Linked DNA regions of Arabidopsis thaliana. The protein of the gene in region 1 interacts with the protein of each later gene in a pairwise test. Each region holds a gene or a part of one and is shown on either strand. Other genes may lie near its edges.

Region 1 (3,523 bases):
TGCGAAAATTAACTACCAAATAAAAGCAAATCTTATTCAAAAGAATATGCTCTTATTCCATGGCCTAATTATTTTTGCCAAAATGGTTAAAAGATTTAAAAATTAAATAATCATTCGAAAGAAAACTTTAAATTGATTTAAATTATAAATATTTTAATAAAAATATTATTAAAAAAATAAAAAAATAATTTCACCGAACATGATTAGATAGTAGGACTAGATGGTATGACGTGTTTATAATATTATAATATATAAACTTTATAACAATTAAAGAAATATTTGAAAGAAAACTTTTAAATTGATTTGAATTAAATATTTTTTAAATTAAAGTATTATTAAAACAAAAATCACAAAATAATGTCTAATTTTACTGAACAGGGTTAGTGGTAGGACGGGTTTGGTCGACAGTATTACGAGATGGTATACTACAAGTGAAATCCATTAGATATGTTTAATTTCACTGTGCATGATTAGATGGTATGACGGGTTTTGATCGATAATAATACAAAACGATATACTACGGATGAAATCCTAGATATAACAATTAAAATCTATATATACATTATCTTAAACACTAAACAAAGCAAACAATATTAATAAAACAAATATCTACATATACATTTTATATAACAAATTTTATTAAAAACCTAGCCCCGCGGTATACCGCGGGTCAAAATCTAGTTAGTTATTATAGCAACTGATAAAAAAAATATAAATTAGATGCCGATTATGTATAATTCAGAAATGTCATCAGATTTGTTACAACATGCATATAACCTTTTTAAAAGCCAAAATATTTAGGCACATAGAAATTGTATTAGTTAGATTAACGCGTGTTAAAATAAATTAAATTTTAATACATATTAATTTTTGTTTTGCTGTCTTGATTTATTATTTATTGCAAATTATGAGAACTGTTACACAAATGATTCTACCACAAACAATTCCTTTTTATGATTTACTATCAAAATATTATATTAAATTTGAATGTATAGATAAAAAATTTGGAGAAATTGTTTCTCTCGACTCTTTTATTATTTACATATATTATCTTATAAATCCAAATATATATATTTATAAATATAAGAGAAAAACATGTTCTCTAGAAACAGGAATTAAACCAACATAATAAAACGACAACAAACTGGACTCGATCAGACAAACCCGGTATAGATGCATATCCGAGAAATGAAGTTGTGAAGATTCGCTCCATCAATTAAGCAACATGTTTGAAATTTAGTCTAGTATGACGAAGATCCCACCAAAATGCAATAGTATCGCCTGCTTTGTAATGTTTTCTTTTTAGAATATCATTCCATCCATGAAATTTAAAATTATTTCCATCTTGTCTTATGATTACATATGTTGTAATTTGAGTATCAATATCATACACTCCAATCATCTTTGGCTTGTCTTGAACTTGTAACAACTGGACGAGAGTACTTATCTCCATGAAAGGAAATAAATTGGTTTCTAGTAACGCTTTTGGCATCATTATCGTAGTACTCCTATCGACGTCAAATGGTGACAACGTTATCATGATGTTATATGGGTTGTTTGAGTCATACTGCTTATCTGGAAAATTCGCCATGAGTTAGAACAGAAAGATATATGAAAAATCGGGTTTCAATGTTCCTTACTCCGTAAAGGCTTATGCAAGGTTTGTATAAAAATATTTGTTTGTGTTAAGGGTATATATAGTGACAATAAGTTGTACTTATGTACGTGGTTAATTGTAATTAAGAGCTTATACCAATAGAGAGATACTATGTTTTCAAGTTAGATTAAAATTAATTAATTGAATATGTTTTGTCTTACCCAAATAACACTAATTTTGTTTGATATATAGTTTCATAATATTATGACATATATAGTTTTGTAGTTATTGAATTCTAACACGTGTTAAAGTGAAATAAATTTTGACAGGCTGACTTAACATCAAAAAGTTTTGAAGTAAATGTCATTTAAGTATTTGACATTTTTTTGGCTCATGTAGTTGTGAGCTTGCAAATTTAACTCTATAAGATTCTGTAAGATTTTTTTTTTACTTAAGACAATAAATAGTTTTTCTTTTTGACCAAACTATTGTGGCACATAAACTTTAATTACATTCATTAGAAATATGGGTAATATGTTAATCAGTGAATTATATGTTAGAATATATATACACAATATTTTCATGAGTATAATAGATTCATTATTAATTGAACATGTTTTCTCTTTCAACAAAAGTAATAGTTAAGTTTTAGGGGATATTATTGGTTTATGATTTCAAAGGAGTTTTATTGACTTAAAATGTCATGTAAAATATGTTGTTATTCAATCAAGATAATATAAAACTATGTTAATGTTTTGTGTTATTCATTTAAGATTTGTAAAAAGTAATCTAAAATCTTCATAAATTTGGGGTTATTGGATTCATATTCTTATAAAGTCAGTAAGAGTTTTGTGGTATTCAATTAAAACAAAAGAATCTCTTATTGTTAATGATTTAAATTATTATGTTATTGGTTCATGACTTTCTATATTTTTGTTTACAAAATAAAGTCATAAAAAGTAATGAAAAATATTATCAAAATAGAGAGATTGTTTAAGAAACTTTACAAGATTATTGTGAAGCCTAATCTATAATTTCCGATTAGAACTTGCGACTTAGTTTAGGGATTTGAAAGAAAATAGAAAAAACGCAAACAAAGAACACCGAGATTTTACGAGTTCAGGTTCCGGTGTGGAACCCTACGTCTCGCCGGAGATTGACTCCGGAATCCACTAGATCATAGCTCAAACTCGAGCTCATACAAGTGACCGTTACAATCGCTCACCGGATTACAGTCACTCTCAAGCTTTCTCTCACTCACCAACACAAAACCAGTTACTCTCTCTACCTCTAACTCTAAGCTCACGTCTCTCGTCGACTTGCGTAGTCTCGTTGTCACGCTTCTCTTATCTGTTTCATTCTGTTACATACTCAAAGAAGAGTAGAGAAGAAGAAGATACAGAGCCAATGATAAAAGACCCTTTTACCCTTCTAGTTGTGACTTATTACTAATCTCACGTGTGTGCTTCTCACGTGAGCCAATGAAGGAAGCTTGGGTCAAACCCTCTGATTGCTTCAGATACTTATCACACTTTAGCATATATCTTGAGATCGGATGACACTAAACCTTCAAATCTCCACCTTGTCATCGATCTTCTTCACGCTCCTTATCTAGCTTCTTGGATTCCATCTCCGGTACTTGAGCTTCACCGCTCATCTTGAACTTCACCGTTCAACTTCAATGCTTCCTTGAAAAATTGTTTCCTCAATGCATCTTAAAATCAACATGTCTTGATTCTACTTGAAGACTTCCTCGCAGCTGCTCCTTAGAACCCTTTAAACTTGCTCTAACCTTGACAACTCCAATCTTCACACTTCAACAACCATTAGTGAACATATCTTCGATGGAAAAAAAATAGCTGTGATGTGAATCACACCGACGTTCCCGAACCATCGACGTTCTAGTATCACTTCTTGAGTTGTGAA
Region 2 (4,756 bases), on another chromosome or scaffold:
TTGCAAACCAAAAGCTCAAAAAACTTACACTATCTTAGTGTCTGTTTCAATTTAAGAGAACCCTTAGGAGTAGCCTGAAGTCTAGTTTAAGTTCTCGGCTAATAGCAAAAATTTCTTAAAGACTGCACTCATATACATACAAAAAAAGGCAGAAAGAGAGACCTGTCTCTTGGTAATTTCTTGAGCTTTGTTCTCTTGCCATTCTCGGTAAATGGAGAAGAGCTCTACAAGTATTTGAGGATCAACCGTATCTGGGAAACAGTTGACAACAAAGGCAAAAAATTAGAGTTGAAAAAAGGAGACTTGTAGATGAATGAAAATATCTTTTCATTATGAAGCTTTAACAGTAAACGAATACATTAGCAAAAACAAAAAAAGTCCAAAGATATGTCTTCTTCTATGAATAAATTGTCTTCCACACAACAAACGATCAATCATTTTGAACATGTTACATAAAAACAGCAAGTCCTCTTCCTAAACTCAGTTGAGCAAACTAATCAGATAGGTATAAAACTCACTGGAAGAGGAACTGGATAGAGCTTTTCTCACTAAGATATCTGTTAAGCTACTTTCCGTGGGAGGAGACTTCAATATTGGCCTACTCTGCAATTATCATATTTTTAAGCAAGAGCAAACATGTTCAATCGAAAAAACATTGAAAAGGGAAAGACAAAAGAGGAGTAGTAGTAACTCACTACTGTGAGAGCTTTAAGATTCTCGAGAATGGGATCGACTATTTCTGATCGATGAGATATAGTCGTAATCACATCACCTCGATTTTCCTGAGAATCCATCAAAAATTGAATAAATCAATCTCGCATATATAATAGACCCAGGAAGATGCCTGGAGAATCAAATCGCGATATATCAGTTACCTGAGAGCCTAGCAGAGTTGAATCTGATGCTCCCATTTGCTTCACAGACTCCGATTAGGGAATTTTATTCAAGGAATCAGCAGTTCCGTTTTGGGAGAAATCTGGAAACGCTCGTAGCAAGGTTTTCTCAACTCCGCCAAGGAGAAGGAGGAGGAGACCGCAATATGACGTTTCGCGCATGTGCAAGACAACAGCGTGCCGTTTTAAACCCCCAGTGACGACAATGTGTTAAAACAAAAAACGCCAGCTCGTTGGATATTCAATGGGTAGGACTAGGAGACAAAGCATGAGTAACACAAAGCCATGCTTCACCACGCATGGTAGACAAAAGCCCATTTTATTGGGCCCACCTTGAGCCCACTTCTTTATTAAATATATAAAAATATAAATCACCGTAATTTGAACGTATATTTTCGAGTCACTAATACATTATACGAAACAAACTGAGTAAGTGTAAAGCCCTATATATATCTTCTTATTCGATTCTCACCTTCTATTTATCCATCGAAATCAATTCCTTCGGTGAATTATTACGACCATATATGTAAATCCAAAATGCGACGACGTTTCTAGTGCATGCATGCATAGGAAAGCCTTTTTTAGTCTTCTCCACTCATCAAAAATTGAGACGCCACGAACTTATCTAGATATCTCCAGTCAGTGATCCTCTTCTCGGAGCTCATGTCATCTTTCCGGCTACTGTTCTCAGAAAAAGTAGTACTATGGGGAGTTATTTCCGACGGAAGAGAGGGGCTCTCGAGCTGAGGAAGCTGGGAGAATTGATCATCATCGATGCATTGAAGGTACATAGATCCGAAATCTCCATCCTGGACGTGACTGGCCTCGGAGAGTAGTTCTTGCTTGAACGGTGTGGCGGTAAAATCAGGATTATGTCTGGCTCGCTTGTCGAGAGGTTCCAAGAGAGTGGCGTCGTCGTAGAATAAGCAGTTCGGATCCCAAAGTTGCCTCCTTTTTGTTGGGATGGTCGTTCGTTTCTTAAATGCTCTACACACTACCCATCCTTCTTCCTGCTTCACCATTTAATCTAGCTAGATCAATCAGAATGTGTGGCGCTATAAGTGAATAAGATTCCGAATTACCTGTGGAGGAGAGTTCTGGTGTGACTCGAGGCTGTAGTATTCGTGAATGATCCAATCGGACTTTTGGCCATTAGGCGCTCGACCTCGGTAAAAGACAAGCGTTTTTCTCATACCGATAAGTTTGGAGTTGAGGTAAACCGCCTTGTCCCGGCCCGTTGCTTTCCAGAAACCGGCCACGGTGGCTCGGTTTGTCCTAGTCCCAGTCGGATACTTCTTGTCTCTATGGCTGAAGAAATACCACTCCGTTTGCTCCTCGTACCCTATCCTACATCTCTCTACACGTATCACATTTAGGTTACATATTACTCTTTCGAGCTACACAGTATAGTTGCTTACATGTGTAGGTGGTATCGTTTAAATCATAATTCATAAATTAACCCTAACTTCTAAAACTTGACCTCTCTAGATGTAGCCTTATATGTAGGGTCACTCGGGCACATAATTCATAAATTGCACATATAAAAGACGGAACCAATTATATTATATGAACGATTGATCACATGAATAAACATTGGTATCGAGAAGATATAAGAGAGACAGATAGAGAGAGATAGATATATAATATACCTTGTAGATCCCATGGTTCGATCTTGTAAAGATCAATTTCTCTGATAACGTCGAGATCAATCCTCTGGGAGGCGATTTTCTTCTTGAGATAATATCCGACAAGTTCTTCATCTGTCGGATGAAACCTAAATCCAGGCGGTATACTACACGAATAATCTTGATCAACCTTCATCATATTGATAGTTATTTTCTAGGATTTATTTCGCTGCGGTTTCTTCTTGATCTTAGAAAGATCGATCATAGAAGAAACCCGATCAACCGACTCTATCAAGGGAAAAACAATAGAACGAGAGTCTTATTGAAGATGTTGGTTAGGTATAGGAAAAGAGAGATATGGACCGTCCACTTGAACGATGACATGTGTGTTTAGACTTCAGAGTGTAATCATATGTTCATTTCGCGTTGGCGTAATTCACCATCACTCTTTCTGTACATATATGCACATTTATATACAAGATACACAAAAATATATGTTAGAAGATATGAATCTACAAATTAATATATATATATATATATGAAACGAAGTAATGATTATGTTACAACTTAGAATGGAGACATATGAAAAGGAGATTAAAAAAAAAGGTGGGTGGCTCCGTTTTGAGAGAAACGGGAGAGAGAAGCTGTGATTATCATCATTTTGTTTTTGTGTTACTTCATGCTCAAAATGATGTCTCCTTCAACAATCCTGTATTCTTTATTTTATATCATATATTCGTTTCCTCTTTATATATGTATTTAAAACACTCCAAATTATGAAAAGAATGACTATTGGAAATACTGAAGCTCGATGGTACGCGCGGTTGTAGTGCTACATTTTCAATTACAATCTGACGTTATGTGTCAAATGTGCTGATGTAAAACTTGTTTTGTCTGTTTGTCGTTAATTCTAGGGTCAGCACTCTGATCTCTGTGTTTGACAAAACAACTACATATTTCTCTCTCACACTTGATCTCACGCCTACAATACGATATGTATGTATTTTTACCTATAAAGCTAGTTACGTTGGTGAAGCGATGACCCGATCAAGTATATAACTTAATGTTAATTGGATACAATTCCTGCCTTTTTTTCAGCCAAAACCAAAAGGTTATATATGTAGAGGATGTTAGAGATGAATAGAGATTAAGATTTTTAGATGAAAAAGACATGCAATTGATCTTATATAAAGCATGCTTTAAGCAAGAGATCATATGTGTTTGAAAGGTCATCGGGTCATAAAAGAGGAATGTATACTGTATACAGTTTTAGACTTGACTTTGTGAGAATTGGACATTGGAAAATTGTGGAGCCCCTCCGTTTGCGCATGGTTTTTATGTAATTCTTTGGGAGTCAACTACTAGTAGTACAGTAGACTAGTAATGGTAGTAGTAAAGGGTTATATTTGTCATTTTGAACGCGGCTGTTGAAAACAATGCCAAGAATGTTCGGAAAGAGAGGTGAAGTGGAACACACGTAGCCGAATAGTATTGGTTAAACGGTTAAGTTCTTTACGTAGAAGGGTGAGGGCAACAAAGAAGCGAAGGGTTTGAATGGGTCTTAGCAAATTAACATTTACTAGAAATAAAAAAATAAAAACGTTAATGGACTCCAAATTTGGCGGTGGTAAAAAATCAGATATGAACCAGCGCATTGACAAATAAACGTGATTTATTAATCATGCTCTGGTTTGAAAAGGAAGTAATTAATATCAATTTCCTTATTCTTTAAATTATGCATATAACAAAAATAATTTCAATGCAACCATTATGAATTGGGATTACATGATTGAAAATCATTCACTCTATACACACTCCTAACCCCAAATCAATAAAACCTCTAGTCTTAGTGTTTTGACTTTAGCCGCTCATAAATATCTGAGAATGATGATATATATATATGCGTTTTTATTTTAAACTTTTTGTTTGGTATTTAAGAAGGAATTGTCCCGGCTTAACATTTCTATCTATGACTAGATATTAACCCGCGGTATACCGCGAGCCTATATTTTTATTAAATAAAAAATAATTGAATAATTTTTAGGATGATTTAATAAATTTATGCTATTGTTTGATTTAAATGTATAATTCACCGCGAGACGAAATTTTATAACTCAAATTTTAAAGTTTTAAGTTGTATTTGTTTATTTTGTTAAATGTTTAATATTGTATAATTGTATTTTGATTGTTGTTTCTCGGATTTCACCCGTAGTACACCATCCCATATTAATATCGAAT
Region 3 (7,985 bases), on another chromosome or scaffold:
TTTTTGAGGAAAGAAAAAGATTCCAAGATTTGGAGTAAGCATTCGTGTATATGATTAGGCAGTAGAGTCTTTGGTTTCAAGTGAGTTTACATTAAGAATATCGGTTTAACTGTCTTGTCGGAAACCTAATGAATGTTTTCTCTATCAATCGCTATTTTGCAGAGATGACGGTAGTGGAATTGCGTTAAGGTCTCTGTCAAGAGTTAAAAAAGGATGGGGTCAAGGGGATATATCAAGCTTTCAGCCTCCAAGAGTTGACTACTTAGACTACTGGGAGGACGATGGTTAAGGATTTGCATGACTCTGTTTTCTTTCTGATGGGAAAGTTCAGATGGCGCAAGCAAGTTTTTGAGGTGCAGCTCATCAAGGATGACAGGTAAAGGTAAGAACGAATACTGTTGTAGACACGTCTGAAATACAACAGCCTTCTGATGTAGACACGTCTAATCTTTTGGACAAAAAAACAAAATTCTCGTTAAATCAAAAATCAATTTAAAGTAACGTAGAGTAGGACTTCACATCACTTTCTTCATTTTCTTCCTACTTTGGACAGTAGTATTTAATTTTATAATCAAATAATGATCTTGTGGCATACTCTTTTGATCATTGTCTCCATGCTCATGTGTAAGATGTTAGCCTTATAGTAGCTTGTGATGTACAAGGTTGAGAGATCTCTAACGAAGCTAAATATAACTCTCTGGTAAAAGTATCACGGATAATGTTGAGGAATCCAATCTATTTTTAATAACCTTCATGTTCAGTGGAAAAATATTTTAGAATTGGACCCTCACCTTCTGTTTTCCTGTCTTTGTAGCTAAGCTGGTAGAACCAGACAAGACGACATGGCTGGACAAATATATCCTTGTTAGAACGACGTTTAAACATAAGAGCTGCCTGCTTTCATAAAGAATTTGAGCCCAACTTTGAATTTTGGGTGGGAGGAACACAATCTACATTATTGGAGAAAATGTAAGCTTTCTTGTGCTTTCTGTCGGCACATTTTCTGGTTCTGGAACAGTAGGAGTTTGTAGTGGGGATACAAAGAGACTAAGTTTTATAAAACGTGGAAGACCACCAAGTGTTAGCTGCTTAATTGGAACTAGGTTTCTTCTTAAACATAGCCATACAGATTATTTTTTCCTGTTTTTACAATATCAGTTTTAAATGTTTAATCTCATAATCAATATCATGAAATGGATATTCTTGAATCCCGGCACATTATTTTCCATGTACATCAATGCAATCATGGACTAGATAGTATCCTGTAACCAGACATGTCCCAAAAATAAATAAGCGAAACACACAGAATTTTTCAATCGCCATAGTTCCAGTCTTGCAGAGTTTAAGAAACCAGACAATAAGATTGTACATGCATAAAATACAAGTCTATGGAATTCATCTCTTTTATACAAAAATCTGCTAGGGCAATACAGGAGACCAGTTACTACTGCCACTTCCAAAATGTTGTTCAGGGAACTGGAAATATGTTTATACAGGATTCCCATGCTGAAAAGGTAAGTGAGATTTCTACAAAAGCTAAAAAAATCAGTAGAATCTTCCTGGTGCTTTGCAGTTACAAAACTTCGTTTAATGTTTTTCAGGAAAGACCAGTGTTGCCAAAAGAACCACTTAGCTTGACTTGAGAAGCTTCGTTCAGACTTATTTTAATTGTGTGGGTCTGTGTTAATCTATATATGTCAATGCATTCCACGAGATCCGCTTCACATGTCAGAAGAACCCACTCCTTATCATCATCCAGGTACTTAAGGTCAAACCAGGAAATGTCATCTATGTTGAAACGCCTAGCAATCTCTTGCTTCAGCTCTGCGAAGCCCCAACTCGGGAGTAAGGTAAACCGTATTCTGGCCTCACCAAATGTCGCTTTCACTTTGATGGCACCTCTAGCTCTTAAACTCGTGTTGCTACTACCTGTTAATGGAGATGAATTATCAAGAACAAGAGGCTCCTTGAATGTTTTATGGCTCTGGGTTCTTGCAAGACATTTTGTTTCCTCCTGATTCACATTATGCAGTTGTGCTTCGCTATGAGCTCTCTTTAACACCGCATCAGCATCCTCAGCAACTAGAATGTTTCCAGTATTCTCATTATTGTTGCTTGAACCAGAGCTCTTGCTGCAAGAAGATGATGGTGACCTGGGGTTTTCCTCTGCCATAATACCATTATCGGTTTGAGCATTCAAATGACTTGGCTGTTCATTACTCTTCAAGGAAGGGCCATTGCTAGACATATTTGGGGAGTTCAACTCTGGGAAGCTTGTATAGAATGAATCGAGTTGGATAGAGCCCTGCGCACCTTGGACAGAGTCCATAACTAGTTGGAGTTTCTTCAACGAATGCCCAACCTTCTTGATTTTTCGGGAGGGCCATCGCATTATTCCATGTTGCCTGCATATCCTTTTCAAGGTAGTTGGACAAACTGCAACACAAGAACGAAACCTTGTCAGATCACTGTCTGAGAGACAGATAAATAGCCATGATGAAAATGTTTGTAGAGCATGATGATTGATCCACTACCACATAGATATAATGTAAGACTGACTTCTGGTTTCATTGATATTTATGTATATTGGCCATGGAGTTTTCACATATCCTGAGGCATGAATTTTTGTTCAACATATTCATTTGGAATGTTTTGGGTTTTGACTAATGAACGTAATGGTTATGCTTTTCCCAAGAAACAATAAGAATCAAAATTCATAAAGAATGGGGCTATGTCACCAGCAGTGTACAACATTCTCTTACCACCAATGCTCTTGGCTGCATCCTTGAGGCTTCCAGCAAAGTATTGTCGAAGAACCTCCAAGCCAATGGTCTTTTCTGTTTTTGCTCTTTTTTTCTCCCCTGGTCTCCTACTGCTTAACATATTTCCCCCACCAGTCGAAGCTGATTCTGTGCTTGGACCGATGTCGACTCTGAGTCCTGGAGTTGATGCTTGCTGTAATTGCTCAGCTTCTAAAGGAACATTATTGGGGACTGGATCAAGCTGACTGTTCTCCCGGCCAGATGAGAGCTCTTTAGGATCTTCTTTCTGGTACTCCCAAGAAAGTGATACATCTTTACCCTTCTCGTTTGCCTTTATCATGTGGGCGATCCATGAGGATTCTTGCATTTGAATTTCTGTCAACGACTCTACGGTTTCTGCTCCACATAGCAGGTTTTCTGAGAAGAGCATTGTCTCTCTTACAGGTAATACGACTTCTAACTCTAGGTCTTTGATGAAAAGATTTGAACTCCTGAAATCTTGCTGCAGTGTCACACATAGTGACTTGAGCATTTCCTGTTGCGCTTCAGTGTCAAGGCATGCTTTCGGAAAGAAAAATTCCAACACAAACTCAACCAAACCAGATTTGCTCTTTAATGGAACTGCTAAAGCAGCATGTAGTCCAGATATCTTGGCGTGGTGTGCAAGGGGGTAGTTAGTCTTGCTAAATGTGGCCACTTCGGGCACAAAAAAGAGTTTGGTGGCTTCAAATGCTTTCCCAACAATGCCTTCCCCCTGGAGCAGATGGTGTTCAGAGCATGCCTCCCAAAAACTTTTGCTCTGTTCGTCGGGGACAGAACAAGCAGAATCGATTGTTGAAACACACTCAGAGAAGTTCTCATCAGAATGTCGGGAACCAACTTTCCCTTGCCGAGCACACGGCGCCCATGACAAAGCTAGAGGAAAATCATATGATCTGCAGATTGTGGCCAGGAAATCTTTTATTTCAGGTAATGCAGCACAGTAGAAATCACTATAGACCTGCAGAAACTGAAACATGGAGTATGACCTTAGCAATGCATATCGTTGTTTCTAGGAGCTGAATGAACTAAGAATCCAGTTAATGCACCTCAGAGCTTGGAGTGTTCAAGTTACTTGAACTCCTTAGATCGACGGCCTGCAAAACAGCAGCGTCTTTAGACTGTTGTGGCACATAAACAAAACTTCTCACTGTTATCACAGACATTAATCAAAGAAGATTATGGCTGAATGACTGACAGGAGGAGACATGATGCAGAAAGAAAGATGTAGAACAATCAAAGTACAAACGTATGCAGAAGATGTTGTTGGACTCTAAAGAAAACCAAAAAACAAACTGGACAAATGTGAGGAATTGAATAATGAGCAAACAGAGAAAGCCATCCAGTGAAAGATACATTCAAGCATGAGGTTTACTGGTTGTATGGGTCTAAACATGTGAGGTAAGCGTTGCGGGATCTATAGAGTAGTTTGAGGTAGAGGCAAAACCTCAAGAGCTTTACACATCTTCTCAAGTTCTTGCCGGTAATTCATCTTCTGAGTTGTTGTGACGATCTCAACAACACCCAAACAAGTCCCACTACCTCTTTCGAAAACAGGAAGGGCAAGTGAACCACGAACATCACACTTTTGTGCTTCTTTGATGCGTGGATATTCATCTCTTCTAAAGAAACGCACATCAGGAGTCCACTCAGGAAACTTCTGCAAGAAAACACGACCGGGAAGACCCACAAAATCTTTCATACCCTCATCAGCCGGGAAATTATAAGTCTCTGAAACATGTCTGTATTCTGCAAGGCTGGAGTATTCTTGGTTGAATAAATGTGGCTGAGCCCAAGTAGTAAGAAAGCTCTTCCCTTCCTGCTGAATTGGCACCCATATCTGAACCAAGAAGTCCTTATCTTGCACCGCCTCGTTAAGACCACTAATAGCTTGTAGTAGCCTCTCCTTCACAGATGAAGACGGGCCTTCACTTGCACTTGGAGCAATCCACCAACTTTTTCCCACCTCAGCTTCTTCTAGGAGAAACTTTTCAGCCTGAGGAAACATTCTCTCTGTTTCTTCATTAGAGAAATTATCTTGAGATGGATTCTCACCAAAGCAGAGGAAAGGGCTATTGTCATTCATGGCGGTAGAAGCTGAAGGAGATTGTTCTGTCTGCTTCAAGCTCTTACTATCTGTTGTCTCTAGCCAACATCCATCAAACAAGAGTTCATCCATGAAATCCAAATCCATGGCAGTGTCAGCGAATGCCCCAAAGCTAGAATTAGGTGAAAACCCACCATTTCCTTCGCCTCCATCACTACCACCATCATCTTCCATGTCTAAAGATTCGTTTTTATACCTCCAACAGATACTACCAAATCCTCAAGTTCTCAGAGACTGTGCTTAGCTGTTGTTTACTCAAGAACCGAAACTCATAAGGGTCTTGAAGATGAATAGAGACAAGACAAAGTCCTCTCCTTGGAATGTTAAAACCCAATCTGAAAAAGTTGCAGAAACATTGTCAAAGACCCACCCAAGAATAAGACAAGAGAAGAATCATATCATAGAGATGCTATATAATCTATATAAGTAGCTTCGCTTTCAATGAAGAGTTGACTTAAGAAGGTATCCATCAATCAAAGTAGAGTGCCATCAATTTCAATTACAAAATTCTCACCTATGGACATGGAAACGAAATCAAATCTGATTGTCCATGAAAGGGTAAGATTTTCACCAAAAGTTACTAACTTTATCAAGATTTGTTTGCACAAAGAAACAGAAAAAGCTTCACTTTGGGACCTATACCCAAGAACACTTAGAGAAAGCACCAACAAACAAAAAAAAAACATTGAGAAGATGCACAGACTGGATTTTACTCTGTCTAATGTAAAAAGTAATTGGTCTCTCTATTTCTTCATACATATAATGGTAAGCAAAATCAAATCTGAGAATATATATAAACAAAACAAAAACAAAACCTGTGAAATTTCTTATCACAAGAAGCTTCTCTCTTTCTTGAATGGTGTGTTCTTTTTTTCCTTCTTTTTCTTCTGGACACAAGTACTTGGTGAAGGTGAATGATTAAGATTGTTTTAGTCTCTAAAGATGTAATTATGAGCTTCAATATTCTTTTTAGAGAGCAAGTGGACCCGTGATAAGAGCATCCACTGTTCTAATCACACTTACATACAACTTTGTCTGTACCTGTAAATCTGTAATAATAAAGAAAGTAAACAAACAGTCGCTTGGTTTCTCAAATTTAAATCAATCTTTTCTTCTGAAAGAAAGATCAAAGAAGGAAACAAAAAAAAAAAACAAGTTTCTAAGTTTTGGTTTGGAGCCTGATGGTTAAATGTTCTTATTTAATCGTGTGATTGGTGTTATTCTGACCTCCTCTTTGTTGCCCCTAATCATAATTAATTCGTATAAGATTATTATTATTATTACTATAACAGTTGTGGTGATTACGTATGCGTACACTTTGTTTTATTTCTTCGTCGGTACTTTGTGTTTTTTTATTCGGGGATGTTTCATTGGTTAGAACTTGGCTGTATCAATCGGATCAAGATCATTTCTTAGAGAAGACATGTCTTTCGTGTTGAACAGGTTCGTTCGTTCATCAATATAGTTTGACCTTTAATACTTTATTTTCGATTTCTCTTATATGAATATTCTTTCTGACATCAGCTCGAGTCTCAAAGTTTAAAACATTTTGTATATAGGATGGAATCTATATATGATCGATATATAAATAATTGCATTAAAGGCATAATGATTCACACAATTATGGTAATATTTATTCTTACACATGAAATTGCTATTTATGTTCCAAAATGTCGTCATTTTATTAATTTCATGACAAAAATTACTGTCATAAGTTGGGTGCTAACTAGACAGGTTGTGAACTTCCCAATGTTACACATTATCTAAATCGATATAAAAACAAACCCAAAAAAAAAAAGCGAACAGAAGAAACAAATCATTCATCTTAGGTTTCATCATTCAACCAAATTTAATGATTAAACTTGAATATTTGTGTATATAATATATTAATATGTACATTGATATCCAACGGGTCGGGCTTAGACGCTTAGTTAAATGATCAAAACGGCCCTCAATGATTTGGGGAGCCATAGTCCGATCCCCATTAGCCGCGTCCGGGACAATGACATGACCAAACCAAAGGTCATCAAACTCTTTGAAAATAGTTGAATCCTCGTGTAAATCATAAATAACGTATCAATAATAATCAAAGGTTTATACTTTATACTATAAATGCGCACGACGTCTCTTTCTCTCTCTCTCTCTTCCTCTATTTCTTAGATTTGTCATTTGTTATTCGTCTGAATACGGCAGGTCCTATCTACACATGTAACAATAATGTCGTTTAAAATTAGTGTTTTTAATCTCACTGCCAGTACTATAAGATTTTGATATCATATAAGATCAATATCATTGATCGATCCGAGACAAAAGAAAGAAAAACTAAATTATGTTCATTAATCGTTATGTATAGCGTAAGTCGTGTGATGTCAAACCATCTCGTGATTGAGTATGATGGGTACAAAAGCTAGGAGACCAAACCCTGAGGTAAAGTAATTACTGATTGTATGAACAATTTTTGTGTGAGCAAAAAAAAACCTGTAAAATATATATATATGCCCATGATAAGATGATATCACATTTTTGTAATGAAAACGGTGTGATTTAACTAAATTTTATGTCCTTATCTTGGTGCATACAAGGCGTTTTCAAAGATACATATAATAATTTCCCGTACAATCGAATAGAAGCATTGGATTATTGGAATAATACATGTTTTATCGTACGGTAACTTAAGTGCTTACTCGGTTCTGTTTGATAAGGTATACGAAACAACATTTTCAAGCTTATGCCTTCTTAATGATCTAATTAAGTATGCTTAACTGTTTTTATTTGCTTAATGGATATGTTGAAGTCAAAGAACAAGAGGTAATCAGTTCTTGCTTGTCTCTTCATACTATTCATATCTGAATGTGATGTTATATAATATATTCTTATTGTAGGAATCGTGAACCCTAAAAGTGTGACATTGATTTGGTACTAAATATCATTGTGAATCTGCTAACTGGAAAGCGAATTCCTCCAAGCCATGTAAGCCATTCTGTTTCAAACCATGTAAGCCATTCATCTTGACTTTGTGACTTTAATCCTTAGAGAATCTGTCTTTTTCAATTCCTTGCAACACAAGTCACATTTCT

What was found. The genes of interacting proteins can lie anywhere in the genome.
Region 2: the proteins of AT4G05630 (region 1) and NAC105 interact in a two-hybrid assay, tested with the Arabidopsis thaliana proteins (one large-scale study listed by BioGRID).
Region 3: the proteins of AT4G05630 (region 1) and AT2G17150 interact in a two-hybrid assay, tested with the Arabidopsis thaliana proteins (one large-scale study listed by BioGRID).

What each region holds. Positions count from the first base shown.
Region 1 is NC_003075.7:2,987,232-2,990,754, forward strand, and holds AT4G05630 (B3 domain protein), read right to left. Parts: upstream 1,592-3,523; coding exon 1,217-1,591; downstream 1-1,216. Other genes in the region: AT4G05631 (uncharacterized protein), read right to left, coding at 2,775-2,957, 3,339-3,404.
Region 2 is NC_003076.8:26,478,531-26,483,286, forward strand, and holds NAC105 (NAC domain containing protein 105), read right to left. Parts: upstream 2,999-4,756; 5' UTR 2,718-2,998; coding exon 2,543-2,717; intron 2,251-2,542; coding exon 1,976-2,250; intron 1,904-1,975; coding exon 1,475-1,903; 3' UTR 1,236-1,474; downstream 1-1,235. Other genes in the region: AT5G66290 (uncharacterized protein), read right to left, coding at 163-251, 519-603, 696-782, 876-911. UniProt on the Arabidopsis thaliana protein: Transcription activator that binds to the secondary wall NAC binding element (SNBE), 5'-(T/A)NN(C/T)(T/C/G)TNNNNNNNA(A/C)GN(A/C/T)(A/T)-3', in the promoter of target genes.
Region 3 is NC_003071.7:7,465,452-7,473,436, forward strand, and holds AT2G17150 (Plant regulator RWP-RK family protein), read right to left. Parts: upstream 6,136-7,985; 5' UTR 5,724-6,135; exon of another isoform or gene 5,423-5,723; intron 5,244-5,422; 5' UTR 5,083-5,243; coding exon 4,249-5,082; exon of another isoform or gene 3,968-4,248; coding exon of another isoform or gene 3,899-3,967; coding exon 3,851-3,898; intron 3,772-3,850; coding exon 2,763-3,771; coding exon of another isoform or gene 2,680-2,762; exon of another isoform or gene 2,437-2,679; coding exon 1,598-2,436; 3' UTR 1,236-1,597; downstream 1-1,235. Other genes in the region: AT2G17140 (Pentatricopeptide repeat (PPR) superfamily protein), read left to right, coding at 163-289; AT2G17160 (Interleukin-1 receptor-associated kinase 4 protein), read left to right, coding at 7,303-7,335. UniProt on the Arabidopsis thaliana protein: Probable transcription factor.